Linked DNA regions of Oryctolagus cuniculus. The protein of the gene in region 3 interacts with the protein of the main gene of each other region in a biochemical or structural test. Links are inferred from orthologs where the notes say so. Each region holds a gene or a part of one and is shown on either strand. Other genes may lie near its edges.

The links.
Region 1: the proteins of TBP (region 3) and GTF2E2 form a complex in vitro, tested with the Homo sapiens proteins (2 studies listed by BioGRID). The link is inferred for Oryctolagus cuniculus from reciprocal best matches to the Homo sapiens genes TBP and GTF2E2.
Region 2: the proteins of TBP (region 3) and GTF2F1 form a complex in vitro, tested with the Homo sapiens proteins (3 studies listed by BioGRID, with this or other methods). The link is inferred for Oryctolagus cuniculus from reciprocal best matches to the Homo sapiens genes TBP and GTF2F1.

The regions. Positions count from the first base shown.
Region 1 is NC_091433.1:80,641,605-80,645,423, forward strand, and holds part of GTF2E2 (transcription initiation factor IIE subunit beta), read right to left. Parts: intron 404-3,819; coding exon 296-403; intron 1-295. UniProt on the Homo sapiens protein: Recruits TFIIH to the initiation complex and stimulates the RNA polymerase II C-terminal domain kinase and DNA-dependent ATPase activities of TFIIH. Both TFIIH and TFIIE are required for promoter clearance by RNA polymerase.
Region 2 is NC_091447.1:60,703,033-60,706,711, reverse strand, and holds the end of GTF2F1 (general transcription factor IIF subunit 1), read left to right. Parts: intron 1-797; coding exon 798-982; intron 983-1,490; coding exon 1,491-1,644; intron 1,645-1,728; coding exon 1,729-1,790; intron 1,791-1,866; coding exon 1,867-1,986; intron 1,987-2,228; coding exon 2,229-2,302; intron 2,303-2,387; coding exon 2,388-2,526; intron 2,527-2,630; coding exon 2,631-2,748; intron 2,749-2,841; coding exon 2,842-3,046; 3' UTR 3,047-3,073; downstream 3,074-3,679. UniProt on the Homo sapiens protein: TFIIF is a general transcription initiation factor that binds to RNA polymerase II and helps to recruit it to the initiation complex in collaboration with TFIIB. It promotes transcription elongation.
Region 3 is NC_091436.1:37,201-41,119, reverse strand, and holds part of TBP (TATA-box-binding protein), read left to right. Parts: intron 1-330; coding exon 331-498; intron 499-1,999; coding exon 2,000-2,094; intron 2,095-3,347; coding exon 3,348-3,427; 3' UTR 3,428-3,919. UniProt on the Homo sapiens protein: The TFIID basal transcription factor complex plays a major role in the initiation of RNA polymerase II (Pol II)-dependent transcription.

The sequences.
Region 1 (3,819 bases), on a different chromosome or scaffold from region 3:
GGGGGGGGGCGGCAGAAGATGGTCCAAGTCCTTGGGCCCCTGCACCCATGCGGGAAACCAGGAAAAAGCTCTCGTCTCCTGGCTTCGGATTATGCAAGCTCCAGCCATTGCGGCCATCAGAGGAGTGAACCAACAGATGGAAAATCTGTCTCTCCCTAACTCCGCCTTTTAAATAAATAAAACTTAAAAAAAAAAAAAAAAAGCACAGATTTCAATATTATTTAAAAAAATTATAAAGAAAATATCTCCTGGTTATTAACCAATTATTTTTATTATATTTTAAGCCTTTTCTTACCTCAGTCATTAACCACTGTTTCTGCTTGAGTCCAATATCTAAATGCTGGGTTTCATCCAAAATTTCTTCTAAAGTTAGAGGATGTGTGTCTCCTCGCTGATGTCGTGTCTATTGAGGGAAGAAATCATTGTCAGTGTTTTAAAATGCTAGATACACTAAATCAAAGCTACCCATAAATAAATCCTTTCAGGAATATAGAACATGTATTATTTGAGGCAGTAAAATTATACTAATTAAAAGCACTGATGATGAAATCAGATAGAATAAAAAAATCATATAACAAGAAAAAAGCATTTGCAACTCACATCACAAAGAGCTAATCTTAATATTTAAGAGCTCCAAACACCTAACAAGGAAATACCCAAAGAGACGAATCCTCAGATGACAGAAAAAGAAATACAAACGATCTTAAACATATGAAAAGACACTCAATTTTTGCCAAGATATTTCTCACTTATTCGAGCTGAACAATTCCAAATGTCTGCCAATTTTATTAGTGAAGCTAGAGGAAAATGCCTTTCTCAAAGACTACTGATAACAGTATAAACTGGTACAACCCTAGAGAGCAGTTTGGCAGTGTGAATTAACTAAATCCTTTGACATAGCAATCTTATTTCTAGGAATTTACCCTATAAACATGCCAGCACAGCACAAAAAAAGTGATTAAAAGTCATTGCAATATTGTTTGTACAAGAAAAATACTAGAGGGGCCAGCGCTGTGGTGTAGTGGGTTAAGCCACCACCTGCAGTGCCGGCATCCCACATGGGCACGGGTTTGAAACCTGTCTGCTCCACTTCCAATCCGGCTCTCTGCTATGGACTGGGATAGCAGTAGAAGGTGGCCCAAGTCCTTGAGCCCCTGCACTCACATGGGAGACCCGGAGGAAGCTCCGGCCATTGCGGCCAATTGGGGAGTGAACCAGTGGATGGAATACCTTTCTCTCACTCTGCCTCTCCTTCTGTGTTTAACCCTGACTTTCAAATAAATAAATAAATCTTTAAATATATATGTATATTAGAAATAACCCTAGTGGCCATTAACAGACAATTCACTAAGTAAACTGCATCCTACATGCTACTGTTCAGATGTTTAATGCTATGTTCTCTATGTGCTAATTTTTTTTAAAAAGATTTATGTATTTATTTGAAAGGCAGAGTTACACAGAGAAGGAGAGACAGAGAGTGGTCTTGCATCCACTGGTTCACTCCACAATTGGTTGCAATGGCCAGAGCTGTGCCAATCCAAAGCCAGGAACTTCCTCCAGGTTTCCCACACCGGTGCAGAGGCCCAAGGACCTGGGCCATCTTCTACTGCTTTCCCAGGCCATAGCAGAGAGCAAGATCAGAAGTGGAGCAGCCGGGTCTTGAACCATGCCGGCACGGCAGGTGGCGGCTTTACCCACTACGCCACGGCGCCAATTTAAAAAAAAAAAAAAGCATTGCTACTTCACTGGCCGTAGCATACGTTTTCATAATGGCTTGCCTTTTTTTTTTTTTTCTTTATTTTTTGACAGGCAGAGTGGACAGTGAGAGAGAGAGAGAGAGAGAGAAAGGTCTTCCTTTTTCCATTGGTTCACCCTCCAATAGCCGTGCGGCTGGCATGCTGCAGCCGGCGCACCGCACTGATCCGATGGCAGGAGCCAGGTGCGTATCCTGGTCTCCCATGGGGTGCAGGGCACAAGGACTTGGGCCATCCTCCACTGCACTCCCTGGCCACAGCAGAGAGCTGGTCTGGAAGAGGGGCAACCAGGACAGAATCCGGCGCCCCAACCGGGACTAGAACCCGGTGTGCCGGCGCCACAAGGTGGAGGATTAGCCTAGTGAGCAGCGGTGCCTGCGAGCATAATGGCTTGTAATAGGGCTTCTCAACCAGCATTCCACAAAACCCTAAAGTTACAAAAAAAAAAAATCAAGATATTAAGAAATAAATGTTTTAACTTCACAAAGTACTAATGCTTATGGTTAACAGGTCATTACTGAGTTCATGCTAGCAGTTTCATTAGAAGTCTATTAGCAGCAAGCAGTAGCAGCACACAAGTAGGACTATGTTCATGCTGCTAAGATCACCTCTTTTTTTCTGCAAAATGGAGGAGAGCTTTTATAACTGGTAAACCATACACCTCACAAATGGGAACACAGGGGAACGAGAATGTCAGCAATTCCCTTCCAAATTATATCCCCCAACTTCCCCTTACAGTGTCAGTTAACTTAGGGGAGCAATCAAGCTCTACAGGCATAAATAGGAAATCTGACGGAAATTTCACTGATTCAAGTAATGTTCACACACCATGATTCAACTGCTATCTGCTGCTCTTCTGTTGTAAATGCGGCAAAGCACAGATCATGTAGTAAAAAAAAAAAAAAAAAAGTAACCTTCACTGTGAGGTTTTCTTTTTTTTTTTTTTTCTTAACTTTCTCAGTTGTTATTCCCCTTACCTGCTGCCTTCCAAGGTATGCATTAGCAGGAAGCTGGAATAGACAGCAGAGTTGGGACTCAAACCCAGGCATTCTAACATGGATGTCCCAAGCAGCGTCTTAACCACTGTGCCAGATACCTCTATCCCTAGTACTTGTTTCACAAACATGTCTGACCAACCGATGTGATTTTTTTTAAGATGATATTTGTGATGGAAGAGGATTCCAAATCTAGACTGATAAGCAATTTTACTATGGTTAATAATAAAGAACTATAATTTCCCAAGTCATGTTACTATACCAATATAGCAAGAAATACCAAACTGGGCGTACACCACATATGATATAAGCACCCCATTCTGGATTGCTGATTTGAGTACCAGCCACTCTACTTTTAGTTTAGCTCCCTGCTAATAATGTCTGGGAAGGCAGTGGAAAATGGCCCAAGTGCTTGGGTCCCTGCTACCCATCTGGGATACCAGGATGGAATTCCTGCCTCCTGGCTTCAGCCTGGCCACAGAAGACATTTCAGGAATGAACCAATGGATGAAAGATCTCTCCCCACCATCCACCCCACCCAGCCTCTGCTGCTCAACCTTTCAACTACATAAATCGTTTTAAAAAAAAAAAAAAAGAGGGAAGGGCTGGCGCTGTGGCTAGCAAGCTGAGCCTCTGTCTGCGGAGCAGATATCACATATGGCCACCCGTTCATGTCCCGGCTGCCCCTCCTCCGACCCAGTTCTCTGCTGCAGTGGAAGATGGCCCAAGTGCTTGAGCTCCTGCACCCAGGTGGGAGACCTAGAAGAATCTCACGGCCTTGGATCGGTCCAGAGATAGTGGTTGCAGCCATTTGAGAAATGAACCAGCAGTTAGAAGACCTATCTCTGTCTCTCCCTCTAACTCTCAAATAAATAAAATCTTAAAAATAATGAGGGATGATACAAGACAACACCTGACACTACAAAGCTAACTACTAATCAACAATTTTCACATGGGATGGTAATCCTCCTTTTCCACTGTGCATCGCCTATGGCAAACAACTTATAATAGATCCAGGAAACTGAAAAGACAAAAAATCCACCAGTAGACAAATCAAGGTACTTACTAGA
Region 2 (3,679 bases), on a different chromosome or scaffold from region 3:
CACCATCTCTGCCACCTGGGTGGCAGAGACCCAAGTCCTTGGGTCCTCTGCTGCCTTCCCAGGAGCATTTGCGGGCAGCTGGATCAGAGGTGGAGCAGCCGGGACTGGAACTGGAGCGTGTGTGTGGCCACAGGGCTGGGCCCCGCCTCCCTGGGGCCTCTGCGGTGACACAGGCCACAGATGCATCTGCAGGTGTCCCCGGCGCCCCCTACTCCATTTCCTGTCCCTGGATCTGACTGCCCCAGGGACCTCCCAGGAGTGCAGTCGGGGAGGTTTGACCTCGTGTCTCCCACTGCGCCCGTTTCAAGGTCCACCCACATGGTAGTGAGTGTCACGGCTTCTCTCTCACCCTGAACGAGTGCCCAAAGACGCAGGGCGGGGAAAGCACCCGCAGCCCCTGTGGGAGCGCCTGGCTCTGAGCCCTGGCCCTGGCTCCCGATGCCGGCTTCCGGCCAATGCACGCCCTGGGGAGCAGCGGCGAGGGCTTAGCAGGCTGGGAGCCACGTGGGAGACCTGCATTGAGTCCTGGGCTGCTGGCTTTGGCCGGGCTTCTTGCAGGCACCTGGGGAGTGACCCAGCGGGTGGCAGCTGTCTCGGCCTCTGAAATAAAGGGAAAGCTTTTTGTTAAAGGCTCCCGTTCATGATATACAAAGACAGACTGGGGGGGGGGGGGGGGCGCTGTGAGTGGACGCTGGGCTGGAGAGGGCTTCAGGGGTAAGGCAGCTCTCCCAGGCGGGGTCAGGGCGCCCCGAGTCCCTGGGGGCGCCCTCGTCACCCAGCAGCCCCTCTGCCCGCAGGAGGAACAAGGTGCTGAACCACTTCAGCATCATGCAGCAGCGGCGGCTCAAGGACCAGGACCAGGACGAGGGCGAGGGCGAGAAGGAGAAAGGCGGCCACAAGAAGGCCAGCGAGCTGCGCATCCACGACCTGGAGGACGACCTGGAGATGTCGTCGGACGACAGCGAGGCCAGCGGCGAGGAGGGTGCGGCTGGGGCGAGGGCTGAGTGGGTGCGGGCGCCCCCAGGAGAGCTTAGCGGTAGCTGGCTGTTGGCCCAGCCAGGGGCAGAACGCGTCCTCCTCCCAGGCTGGACCAGGCTGCAGCCAGGAACCTACCCAGTCACTTAGCAGGCAGTGAGGGCAGGGGCCGGAGCCCGGACTTGAGGCCAGGCAAGCGGACGTGAGATGCGGGCACTCTGGGCCCCGTGGCCGCCCCGGGGTTGGCCAGTTTGAATGAGCCTGGTGGACACCGGGCTCTGGGGGCCGTCCTACTCGTCAGCACGTGGGCCTGGTGCGTGTGCGGGTGTGTGCATCACAGGAAGGGGGCTTGGGTTGTGGGCCCGGCCTGGGCGGTCGCCAGGAGGCGGTGCGCTCCTAGCAGGCCCTCGTCGTCTGGAGGGTGGGTGCAGTGGCCCCCGTCAGCGCATCGTCAACCAGGAAGCCCAGGACGGCCCGTGGCCTGAGCCCTTCCTCCCCCGCCCCCGCCCCCGCAGGCAGCAGAGCCCCCAAGGCCAAGAAGAAGGGGCCGCTGACCAAGGCGGGCAGGAAGAAGAAGAAGAAGAAGGGCTCCGATGACGAGGCCTTCGAGGACAGCGACGACGGGGACTTCGAGGGCCAGGAGGTGGACTACATGTCCGACGGCTCCAGGTGAGCAGGGGAGGCCGGTGACCCCCGCAAGCCCCCACGCCGCTCGCAGACCCGCCCACTCACCCCTGCCGCCGTGTCTTGCAGCAGCTCCCAGGACGAGGCTGAGGGCAAGCCCAAAGTGCCGCAGCCGGAGGAGGGGCCCAAGGGTAGGCGGCGCCCGGGGTGGGGGCGGGAGGGGGGGCGCGCTGGGCGGCCCCCTGCTCACAGCCACCCCTCCCCCAGGGGTCGACGAGCAGAGCGAGAGCAGTGAGGAGAGTGAGGAGGAGAAGCCGCCCGAGGAGGACAGGGAGGAGGAGGAAGAGAAGAAAGCCCCCACCCCACAGGAGAAGAAGCGCCGGAAAGGTGGGGCCCTCCCAGGCCTCCCCCGTGCGCGGTGGGCGGGCGGGCGGCGCGAGCAGGGGTCTCGGGTGCACGAAAGGTGGGGCCCCTCGCAGGCCGCCCCCGTGGGCTGTGGGGCGGGCGCCCGCAGGGGTCTCGCGTGTAGGACAGGTGGGGGCCATCCCAGGCCTCCCCCGTGCGCGGTGGGCGGGCGCGCAGGGGTCCCGCGCCGCTCTGGGCCTGACTCCCGACCACCGGCCCTGCAGACAGCAGCGACGAGTCGGACAGCTCCGAGGACAGCGACATCGACAGCGAGGCCTCCTCTGCCCTCTTCATGGCTGTAAGACGCAGGCGTGGCGGGGGCCGGGGTGGGCCGGGGCTGGGGCGTCTGTGAGCGTTCTCACACCCTGCCCCCGCCCCCGCAGAAGAAGAAGACCCCCCCCAAGAGGGAGCGGAAGCCGTCGGGAGGCAGCTCACGCGGCAACAGCCGCCCCGGCACGCCCAGCACGGAGGGCGGCGGCGCCTCGTCCACGCTGCGGGCGGCGGCCAGCAAGCTGGAGCAAGGTGGGTACCGGGCCGCTCTGCCCGGCCCTGGGTCAGAACCTGCCCTCTCTGGGCCCGGGCCCCACCCGCCCGAGGCTCAGCCCCGACCCCATCCCATCCCACAGGGAAGCGGCCGAGTGAGACGCCGGCGGCCAAGCGCTTGCGGCTCGACGCGGGGCCCCAGAACCTGTCTGGAAAGTCGACCCCCCAGCCGTCCTCGGGGAAGTCCACGCCCAGCGGCGGGTACGTGGGCGAGCGGGGCGGGGGCGGGCAGGGGCGGGGGGCGGTGCGGGGCCGCGGGGACCCGCTCACAGGCGCCCGCCCGCCGCCCCGCAGGGACGTGCAGGTGACGGAGGACGCCGTGCGCCGCTACCTGACGCGGAAGCCCATGACCACCAAGGACCTGCTGAAGAAGTTCCAGACCAAGAAGACGGGGCTGAGCAGCGAGCAGACGGTGAACGTGCTGGCCCAGATCCTGAAGCGGCTCAACCCCGAGCGCAAGCTCATCAGCGACAAGATGCACTTCTCCCTCAAGGAGTGAGGCCGCAATAAACGCGCGCTGGCCTGGCGTGTCGTGTCGTGTCGTGTCGTGTCGTCCCGCTGTGCCGGGGACAGCCTCCGTGCTGGGAGCCAGCCCATCTCCACCCGCGCACCACCCCCATGACCCCTGAGCGCGTCCTTAGTGGAGCGAGTGGTGCTGACTCGGCGCTCTGTCGGCTGCTGTCTGTGCGGTCCGTCTCCCATGCTGCCCCGCGGGCGGGTGTGGGCACCTGCGCAATCTGAATGAAGTTCACAGGCGGGCAGACGGCCTTCGGGACTGTTGATTTATAATGAGATTTGTTTATTTGAAAGGCAGAGTTAGAGCTGCCGTCCGCTCGTTCGTCCCCCAAATGGCTGCAATGGCCGGGAGCCAGGAACGCCACCCGGGTCTCCCACATGGGTGGGGACCCCACGTCCTCAGACCATCTGCTGCCTCCCCAGGCAGAGCGGTTGGGATGCCGGCGCCCTGGCCACGCGGCCCCTGTGACGGGGCCTGGACAGGGCGCCAGGGTCGTCGGGGATGGCCTTGGCTCCCCGCAGCTGCCCAGGGAGCGCCGTCGCCGGACCCCTACCCCCTCTCGCTGCTGGCCTGGGCTTTTGAGCGCTTCTTTCTACCCAGGGAGCTCTCCGGGGT
Region 3 (3,919 bases):
TGGGGTGCTAGCATCACAGGTGGCAGCTTAACTCACTGTGCCACAGCACTGGCCCCCACAGTGTATTAGTGATGGCACATTTCACTTCCGTAAAATCTAGGGCTGTCAGTAATTCAGTGAATTGAAAGAGAGCATTCTGTTTTCTCTGGAGGACATAGGAATACTTGACAATAAATTGTTAATATCTGTTCTTTTATCCTGTTGAAAGGAAGATGACCAGTTTATGTGTTATTCATTTCCTAATTTGGAATTTTTAATATTACTCATCTAAATATTTATGTTAGCTGGATTAGAGTATAAAGAACTTAATTTTTTTTTTCTTTTTTCTAGTGAAGAACAGTCTAGACTAGCAGCAAGAAAATATGCCAGAGTTGTGCAGAAGCTGGGTTTTCCAGCTAAGTTCTTGGACTTCAAGATTCAGAACATGGTGGGGAGCTGTGACGTGAAGTTCCCCATACGGCTGGAAGGCCTGGTGCTCACCCACCAGCAGTTCAGCAGGTGAGCGGGGATGTACTCTGCTTGGGCTGGGACACATTTGTAATCTCCTTAGTGTGTTTCAGGATAAAACACAAGCCAGCTATGTAGGGAGTAAGAGCCGGTGAGGCATGCAGAGTTGTGATGCTGTCTCCCTATCAGCCTCCTCCTGCCACATCGGTAGCCATACCCCAAACTCCTCTGCACTGGAATGAACTTGTTTCCACTTCTGGGTTTTACCATTTTATGGCTCAGCAAATGCTTGAGTTGAATCGACAGCTTCTTGCATTAGTTTTTCCCAGTTTGAATCTTTCCTTTTAGTCAACATTATATCAGCTCTGCTGACAAAATGTGAAGTGGGTGATGGGAACATTCTTTCCATTTATTTGGGAGACTCGAGGCAGGTAGTCCTTCCCACCTTGCAGCTTCTTCTCAGCGTCACGTGGTTCTCTGTGTCCCTCGACTCACCATGCTGTGCTGCAGGCTCATTGACCAGCATCAGCGTTCTAGGAGATGTCCACTTGAGTTCAGATACCCACCCTTGCTGCCCTTCCTCAGAGAGGCCACTCACAGACACAGGGACACCTGGTTTTCAGAACCTCTGAACTAGAAAAATGAGATTATGAAGTTAGAATAGGAGGTAGCAACAGTCCATTCGATCAGACCATGTAACTGGAGTATAGTATCTGGTGTGTCACATAAATTACTTGGCCAGAATTGACAGCTAGAGGATATTCCATTTAAGGAAGTGAGATAAGATTGAAAGCAAAACTGTCTATATCAAAACAACTAGGCAAGTGTGTAAAGGTTCCCAACACATAGACATGATAAGTGAGGAGATGGAAATGCTAATTACCCTGTTTGATCATACACCTTGTGCAGCTGTATCAGATTTTCTTACTGTACTCATAAATATGGACAAATATTCAATTAAAAGTAAATTTAGAAGTAGGCAAATTGTCAATGTTGTATTTTAGAAATAAAAGATTTGGGGCTGGTGTTGTGGTGTGTGTAGTGGGTAAAACTGCTCCATATCGGCGCCAGTTTGAGACTCAGGTGCTCCATTTCTGATCCAGCTCCCTGAGAATGCACCTGGGAAAGCAGTGGAAGATGGCCCAAGTGCTTGGACCCCTGACACACCCATGTGGGAGACCAGGATGAAGCTCCTAGCTTTGGCCTGGCCAAAGATCTCTCATTCTGAACTCTGCCTTTCAAATAAATAAATCAATCTTTAAAAAAGAAATAAATGATTTTACGTAGATTTATCTAAACTCAGGCAGAATCACTCTTTGTAAGAACTGCATTCTACAGAACAAATGCACAGCTCCTCTTCTCAGCAAGAGGAGCTGGTGAAGTGACAGGGCAGCCAGCCACTGGCTGGTCCAGGTGTGGATGCAGCTCCGGCTCGCTTGCTGTAAGTGCTCTCTTCCTGGATGTGTTGTGCAGTGAGTGGGCTTGTTGAGGTATTAAACCCTCAAGCATGGGAAACTTCATTTCTAATCTGTTTTTGCCGTTTTCCTTCTAGTTATGAGCCAGAGTTATTTCCTGGTTTAATCTACAGAATGATCAAACCCAGAATCGTTCTCCTTATTTTTGTTTCTGGGAAAGTTGTATTAACAGGTAAGTTCAAATGGGAATTAGCACCTGAAAGTTTGAATGAATTTAAAGGTGGGCATTTTCTCAGAGCTGAAAGGAATTTCACAGCATTGAATAGTTGGCTACCAACCTTTATCTTCTTTCCCCTACTCTTACTCTATGAGAAAAGTACCTACTGCTGGGAAGAAATCAGAGCAGGGGGATGTGACAAAGCCCTGCTGGGCCTTCAGTCAAAGCATGACCTCCATTTATACTGGGGAGGGGAAATGAGCCTGGCATTGGGTAAGAGCAGGTATCTTCCATGGGTTTGTCAGCAGTGTCATGAGAACAAAGGGAGATTCAGAAGCACTGACTTGAAGGCAGTAGTTGGGACGTTAAGATCCAGTCACTCTCGCTGCTGCCCTGCCAGGTTACTCTGATTGTGTAGCAATGAGCTGTAGAGTGGGAGGCTGGAGTCCCCATAAGCATTGCTGTTGTAATGTAGAAAATCATTTTAAGAAAATACTTTAGAGGGGCTGGAATTGGGATGTAGCTGGTAAAGCCGCTGCCTACAGTGCTAGCGTCCCTTTTGGGTGCGGGTTTGAGTCCTAGCTGCTCCACTTCAGATCCAGCTCTCTGCTATGGCCTGGAAAAGCTGTAGAAAATGGCCCAAGGCTGGCGCCGCGGCTCACTAGGCTAATCCTCTGCCTTGCGGCACCGGCACACCGGGTTCTAGTCCCGGTTGGGGCGCCGGATTCTGTCCCGGTTGCCCCTCTTCCAGGCCAGCTCTCTGCTATGGCCCGGGAGTGCAGTGGAGGATGGCCCAAGTGCTTGGGCCGTGCACCCCATGGGAGACCAGGAGAGGTACCTGGCTCCTGTCTTCGGATCAGCATGGTGCGCCAGCCACAGCGTGCCGGCCGTGGCGGCCATTGGAGGGTGAACCAACGGCAAAGGAAGACCTTTCTCTCTCTCTCTCACTGTCCACCCTGCCTGTAAAAAAAAAAGAAAGAAAAAAAACTATGAAAAAAAGAAAATGGCCCACGCCCTTGGGCCCCTGCACCCACATGGGAGACCTGGAAGAAGCTCCTGGCTCCTGGCTTCGGATTGGCCCAGATCCAGCCATTGCAGCCATCTGAGGAGTGATTGGGGTATGATAAGGGATGCCACCATTAAAGTTTCAATGCCTATAATTGTAAAACTGAGTATGGAGAAAATTGTGCTTGCAGTTTTGTTTTAAGATAATAATTTTACCACCTTAAGATGTTGAGAAATGCGTTTTCACACTCTTGCCTTTGTAGGTGCTAAAGTCAGAGCAGAAATCTATGAAGCATTTGAAAACATCTACCCTATTCTAAAGGGATTCCGGAAGACGACGTAATAGCTGTCATGTACTTCTGCCTCCCCTACCCACATGTTTTTTAAAGAAATCAGTTTGGTACCTTTCAATGGTGGTGTTGAGAAGATGGAGGTTCAGTTGCAGGTCACGGCACCAGGCGATGCTCTTTCGAGTGTGTCCCGCCAGGGGCCCTGGGAGGGCATTGTTTCTGCACTGAGAACACCACGCAGCATTACTGTGAGTTGCTCCTACTGTGCTGCTATCCGGGCAGTGCTGCCCGTTTATTTATATTTAGGTTTTAAACACTGCTGTTGACAAGTTGGTTTAAGAGACAAAACTTTTAAGTGTTAAAGCCACCTGTATAATTGATTGGACTTTTTATTTTGTTTAATTTTTCCCCATAAACCAGTTTTTATATTTCTACCAGGAAAGTAAAAATCTTTTTTAAAAGTGTTGTTTTTCTAATTTGTAACTCCTAGGGGTTATTTTTGTGCCAGACACATTCCGCCTTTCCAGTATTGCAGGACAGAATGA